Linked DNA regions of Ovis aries. The protein of the gene in region 2 purifies or fractionates together with the protein of the main gene of each other region. This does not show direct contact. Links are inferred from orthologs where the notes say so. Each region holds a gene or a part of one and is shown on either strand. Other genes may lie near its edges.

Region 1 (3,519 bases), on a different chromosome or scaffold from region 2:
CTCTCATCAAAGGTTCTTCAAGGGACTTATCTGGCAGTCCAGTGGTTGGGACTTCACGTTTCCAATGCAGAGCATGCAGGTATGGTCCCTGGTCTGGGAACAAAGATCCCACATGCTGCACAGCATGGCCAAGAAACAAAATAGGTATTTTTAAGAGCGGGGGGGGGGGGGGGGGGTTCTTCAAGAGGGGCTTTTGCAAGAGGCAAAGTAAGGATCCCAAGGGAAGCTTGGATGCCCAATCCAGTGCAACCAAGGTTGCTGGGGAACTCCCTTTCCAGGGGGTAGTATGTGGCCTACCCCTGACTTGGTTGTACAGCCACCTCTATAGTTCTCTGTTTTCCTCTCAACCCTGAGAGGGGAATGACATTTCTTCGTTTAGATATTTTTATCTCTTAAGCAATATTTTCTACAGGCTATGGAAAAAGTAGCTGTTGGTATGAATGATCTGCTCCATATTCTGACCTGGAAACACTCAGCCAACGTCAAGCAACCAAGTTTTTCTCTTTGCTAGGGTTCAATATCACTGATTAGTGTGTTCATTTCTCAGTATAGTACATGGTAGGTCAGAACTTCTGAGATGAAGCAATTCTCCCACCTCAGTCCCTCAAGAAATCAGGTCCCCTGTTGTATAGCTGAGACTGATATACTGGGGATGGAGCAACAACACAAAATATAACTACAGAAAGAGAATATAAATTTTCTGGATTGAGAAGAGTCTGAAGGAGAAGCAACAGCCCAATCTTACTCCCTTATTGTCTTTTTCCCTCTAGAGAGTAAAGCACAGTATTGCAAGCAATAGTTGAATCAATTAACACTTAGTTAGTTGTTAGAAGTTAAGTGTGAGACTGTAGCGGGTTGATATGTAAACACTAACAGCTAGGTTTATGACTAATAAGTTGATCAAATGATCAATTAGATCCCAAATTTCTCAGCATCTTTTGCCAAACTCTAATACACAGCCCTGTATCCCTACTGGAAAAAAGAAGGGATCCTAGTTAAAGATAGGGGAACCAAGATCTTTCCTCAAATATGTAATGAAAGCCTTGCATAGTACAGACTTAAAAACAACAGATAAACAGAAGGGCTAGAATCCAAGCCTACACAAAAATGAAGAATATGCTTAGACTCCAGTCAGAGTGGAGAAGACCATAGTTTCCAAACAGAGGACTGACCATGGCCCTGAGGAAAAAGGAAAAGTTGATTCCTATTAGAGGTAATGGCTTTGAAGGGAAGAGTCCAGATGGCAGATAAACAAGAAGAGGAAGGACTTTCTCCTCTTACCCCACATCCTTACTTGATTTTCAGTACAGTCACTAAAGAGATAACCTACTTGGGGATTTGCTTTTTGTTGTTGTTTGTTTTCATTTGTTTTTTATTTAGGTGGAGAGAAATAAAATAGAAACCATGAATATACCTTTCCTAGAAGTTACACAACAGAGAGTGCGGAAGTATTTACAATGTTTGGAGGTGGTTAAGTCTTTCAGCCTTTTCTTTCAAGGCAGTATGTGTAATAGCAAGTCAACTATCTGACAAGGATAACTGTCACTAAGGAAACTCTCTAGGGGTGTTTCTCAGAATGATATGCCACATTCATCTGCATCAGAATCATCTAGTCTTATTTAAAAAAAAAAAAAGCAAAGCAAAAATTCTCTGGTAGCATTCAAGTTTCTAAATCAGAATTTATGGACATGGGGTTAAGTTTTTAAGATGCTTCCCTGGTGGTTCTCTAATAATTTCCTGATGATCTGCACTAATGTTTAAAAACTATAGTTCTAGAGGACCTACAAGATATCAACTTGGACAACTGGTAGTGTAGCAACAGTAAAATTATAGAACTAGAAAGACTTTCCTTTTTAAAAGGGTTATGTTCATTGACCACTGCTCAGAGCTGAGTACTAACAAAAGAGCAACTCTCTAATAACCTATGTCAAACAATGCACTTACAAATAAAACAGTTAAGAAGTAATGTGGAATCATTCTTGGAATGGCAGCAAAAATACTTATACTTACCGAAATATGGTGTGCATACATTGGCCTAGACAGGAAAAATGCTGCATCATGAGGTGTGTGAAATTCATTACAGAGCACATCAATTGAAGGCACTCGCTTTATATAATCTTCTGTGCTTAGATTAGATGCTAAAAACCCACCAAACTGTACCAGGGTATCATGACACTAAATTTAAAAAATAAGACAAAAAACACAAATGTGCTAACATTTTATTAAACCAACGTAATGTTTTCCAAAATGACTAAGATGTTCTTTTTAACAATATTTTGATTAACAATTAAGAATTCAAATATTACTACTTGAAAGAACTTTGGAGACAATCCACAAACTTAATCATATTACAAAAAATACACTCAAGTCCTGAAAAGTTAACTAATTTGAGAATTTTTTAATATAAATTTATTTAAATTGGAGGCTAATTACTTTACAATATTGTATTGGTTTTGCCATACATCGACATGAATCCGCCACGGGTGTTTTGATAGTCGACCAGGGTCTCAAGTTCACCACTTTTAGTGGTAAAATATATTTACCTAAATTTTATAGAACAATATTATGTATATACAAGTCAATTCTCTTGGCCCTTAAAAGTAGAAAATTTTATAAAACACGTGTGATTTTTTAATTACCTTGTAATATGGTGATAGTTAAACACATTTTTTAGGTTAGCCATAGGTTTCAGTGCTTAATGCATTATTGACTAGAGACGTATTACTACGTCTTTTGTCACCTGAATGTTATTGCCCATGAACACATAATACATTTTTAGAGAGTGATACAATTAACATCACCATGTAAAGTTGTTAGACCTTAAAACTGATCAAGGGTTCATTATACAATCTATGATTATTGTTATTCACATTTTGTTAGGTTTTTGTTCTAAACTTGTGTATATTATAAATGCAAGTTTATTACCATAAAATTTTCAAAAATGACTGAAAACCTTATACTATTATATCCCCTAGAGCCATCTCTTAAATATCATAATTTGCACAGAAATTGTCCCTATTTCCAGAATATCTATTTTATATATACATCATATACCATAATATATACCATATATAATATATACCATAATATATATATAATATATATACCATGGTATATATAACATATATGATGAGCAAAATGACATTTTTCAAATTACATAACATTTTATATTTTCCATTATCAAGATTTAAAAACCCACAGAAACACAAAGGCCACTTTAACTTGCCTGATCATAGAGTTTTCCCACAAGTTTCAAATGTTTCTCTCCACCTTCCTGAAAGATTACCCCATTCCTCTGCTGAGCCATAAGCAAGCAGAGAGGAAGAGCAAGATCGTGGTCTAATAGTGCATCCTTTAATCTCTGGGAGGATTTTTTCGTGTTTCTTATCTGACCAAAATAACCACCCTGCAAAAGAAAAGACATACATTTTACTAGTGTACCAGTACATAACACATGCCATCTGATTTGAAAAAAGAAAACAGGAAAGGTTTGGTTACAATCCTGAAGATAAAAACTCT
Region 2 (3,519 bases):
AACTGTAGATTGTTAATAAGTCATAGAAATCACTGCTAAGTACTTTCCAGGAAAAGCAAGCAAACTTTATCTTCATTTGAACTGCTTTCTGAGTAACTCCTATGAGCTTTAGAGTCAAGGAAAACAAAAATTATGTTTACTTGGACAAAAGCATGTTAAATGGCATCAGTGCAGTTTAAGAGCATATTGATTTATTGCAAGGTACGATGTACAGTGTGACGTGCTGTTCTTGTCTCTGTGAGCTTCATTTGTGGGGAGAGCGATTGTTGAATGTTTGTTTCTTCAGAATTCAATCTCTGGTTTGGTTTTTCCATATACCTAGTTTGCCAGACTGGGTAAGAGCAGGGTCACATTAGTGAGCAGTTGTTAGAAGCAACCATTACATGTGAAGAGAGGGTCTAAGAGGAAGGAGGTGGATCAAGTAAAAATGTAAGTAGCCACACTTTGCAATACATTATGAAAGGATTACAAAGCAGCCTAGGGTCAGAATTACCAGAGCCTTAAATGGTTATCCTTTAGCTTCTTGAGGACAGGAGCCATTTCTAACTAATTACATAGTTTGTGGGAAGGAGAACAGTATAAACAAAAGAACACTTAGCTAAGCGCTTGGCTTTTAGTTCCCTGCCAGTAACTTGCCATGCAGCTTTAATCTTGTGATTCTTTGTCTTAAATGGTATGGTGTTTTAAAATCCTAGGAATTTCCATCTACTGAGTAGACTATATTCTGTAGCCACTAAGTATATGGTAAACCAGAGAGACCCCGTATATTATGCACCATAAACTTATGATGTACTAAGTTTAAAAAAAACACCTATATTGTATAAATGAACAAAGCTACTTCAGTTGTGGGATTATTGCTAAATTTTTTCAAAGCTTCAATGAAATAAAAACTAAAAATGCTAGAAACCTGGAATGTCAGAGAACCCCTTGTTATTTTACAATGTACTTTTCTTATCTTAGTTAAGCCTCAACACCATATAGGAAACAGGTTTAGGAATTAGTAGTTACTTGGACCTGATTCCACAGAAATAAAATCCAAACCTACATCTAACACTAGGCTTTAGTCAGTCTAGCTACTTTTAAGTCACACTTTAACACGAAATTCACTATATGAGCTTGGACAGATCTGTCTCAGGTTTGAGATCAGATATTCTAAGATGATAATTCCAAAACTTGTCTGCATATTGCAATTACCTGGGAGCCTTAAGAACTACCTGATATGTCTGTGTTTGAAAGACTGGTTTAATATTAATTTAAAAATAACTTTAGAGAGTCCCAGGTGATTTATATTCAGATTTAGGAATTGCTACTCTAGTAACTTTTTAAATAGTATCTTAAAAATACTACAGTAATTAAAAGTATTTTGAAGAGAAAATTTCAGATGGAGGTATTTTACAAAGAAATCACTAAAGTAGACTGAGATGATAAATCATGAAATACCAAAGTTTAAAAAACATTTTGTTTTATTTCAGCCATGTTAGGTTACCCATGAGCTGTGAAAAGCTATGCTACTTGATAATAAATTCATCAGTTCTATATACTACCTGGTAAATAAGCTTGACCCTCTAGTGTTTCACATACCTCAAATTAGTTATCTTTTGTGCCTTAAGGAGAAAAAAATATCAGAAAAGTTGTATTTGTCACATATATGATACATCCTATGCATTATCACATTACTGTCATTAGGGAATATCTGCTTTTTAGGGGAAACTAAGGGTAATCAATACCATATTTCTTCACTGTCCTCTCTCTGTTTCTTTTAGAAAGTGACAGGATGCTACAAGAAAGCAAGCATTCAAACAATCAAAAATAAGACAGATTATTTTGAGCTCTTTAAAAAAAAATCTTGACAGGAAAGGGGAAAAAAAATGACCCTTAGGCCTGCAGGGCACAGAACTGCTGGAACACAGCCAGGATGTGGGGGTCTAACTCAGCAGTGAAGAGCAGGTTCTCCAGGGTCACCATGTACTGGTGGATTGTCTGGTGATGCTGTAGACACAGAGAAGGGGGAAATGTTTAGGTTAGGAAAGGGAGTACACAAGCAATCTCCCAAACATTCCCCTAAAGCCTACCCACGTTGTGGAGTGATGCGAAAGAGCAGAGAAAAACGGTTTAGCTGCTAGGCATAATAACCCTGGAAAGCCCGAATATGGAGAAAATGTAGGGGGAAATGAAGAAGAAAAAAATGATGGTCAATAATTTAAAAATTCAGTTCTGGTCTGTTTCTATGCAATTCATAATTCACGGCCATGGCAGCACCACCTGCTACTATTCTAGATGAGTTCAGCTGGTTCTTTCCCCTAACTGAAACTGAAGTCGCTCAGTCGTGTCCGATTCTTTGTGACCTCATGGACTATAGCCTACCAGGCTCCTCAGTCCATGGAATTTTCCAGGCAGGAGTTACTGGAGTGGGTTGCCATTTCCTTCTCCAGGGGATCTTCCCAACCCAGGGATTGAACCCGGGTCTCCTGCACTGCAGGCAGATGCTTTAACCTCTGAGCCACCAGGGAAGCCCTTCCCCTAATTAGGACAGAGTATATAGTATGACTTTTTAAAAGTTGCCCAGACAAGGGATGAACTATGAAGAAATTTTGGAAATCATTTCATTTTTTGGTTAGGGCATTAAGCAAAGAGATGTCTTAAGAAAAAAATATTTAACCTATTTATATTTCAGAATTACCCAGTGATCTGTTAAGTATTCCACAAAACAGGAAACCCAAACCTCACTGTTTTTTATCTTTTAAAATAGAGGTTATCTGTCTTACTGAAAATCAGTGACTTACTGAGCCTAACTGGAAAAAATCGTCAGAAAATCAAAGTTTCTTCTATATGTACATATATAAACTTTAATATACTCAGATTCCTATAGGATCAGGGTATTGACAATAAATAAGCCTCCAACAAAAAATTTACTCTAGATTTTTCAAGGAACTATTTTCCCCCCTTTAAGCCTTCTGCTTTAATCACACTCTTGTCTAGAACAAACCGATAAGGATTTGCTTGGGGTGTTGGTGTCTGAAGATACCACTGTACTTCAAATCTAACTTAAATCTAACAGAGTATGTGTTGCGGTCTGCTTTCTGTAAGAACCTCAGGGAACTTACTAATAGTGCCTCCAGAAGCACTGTTATCATTTGAACTTTGGATTTAAAGAGGTTCTTAAAATCTTATTACTCTTCCCTTAGCATTTTTTTATTTTGTGTCACAGCTAGGCTCTCCAACAAAGAGAATGGCAATTAGGAGTCTGAGTGATACAGAGCCAATTTTAAGCCTAAATATTCTGATGAGCAATGGTAGGAACAAATGGACACTAACTAAAGGGCTTACAGGTACCATATAACCTAACAACTTTGATGCTTTTTTAAAACGGAGAATCCCTGTGGCTGAGGATGTGCTGTGTTTAGTGGCTTGGTCGTGTCCGACTCTTTGCGATCCCACCAGGCTCCTCTGTCCATGGGATTTCTCAGGCAAGAATACTGGAGTGGGTTGCTATTTCCTTCTCCAGGGATCAAACCTGGG

Evidence for each region.
Region 1: the proteins of NCBP1 (region 2) and THOC2 purify together in Homo sapiens (affinity purification with western blotting; 3 studies listed by BioGRID and IntAct, with this or other methods). This does not show direct contact. The link is inferred for Ovis aries from reciprocal best matches to the Homo sapiens genes NCBP1 and THOC2.

What each region holds. Positions count from the first base shown.
Region 1 is NC_056080.1:107,651,532-107,655,050, forward strand, and holds part of THOC2 (THO complex subunit 2), read right to left. Parts: intron 3,407-3,519; coding exon 3,227-3,406; intron 2,176-3,226; coding exon 2,011-2,175; intron 1-2,010. UniProt on the Homo sapiens protein: Component of the THO subcomplex of the TREX complex which is thought to couple mRNA transcription, processing and nuclear export, and which specifically associates with spliced mRNA and not with unspliced pre-mRNA.
Region 2 is NC_056055.1:49,985,631-49,989,149, forward strand, and holds the end of NCBP1 (nuclear cap-binding protein subunit 1), read right to left. Parts: exon of another isoform or gene 1,990-3,519; coding exon 1,876-1,989; 3' UTR 170-1,875; downstream 1-169. UniProt on the Homo sapiens protein: Component of the cap-binding complex (CBC), which binds cotranscriptionally to the 5'-cap of pre-mRNAs and is involved in various processes such as pre-mRNA splicing, translation regulation, nonsense-mediated mRNA decay, RNA-mediated gene silencing (RNAi) by microRNAs (miRNAs) and mRNA export.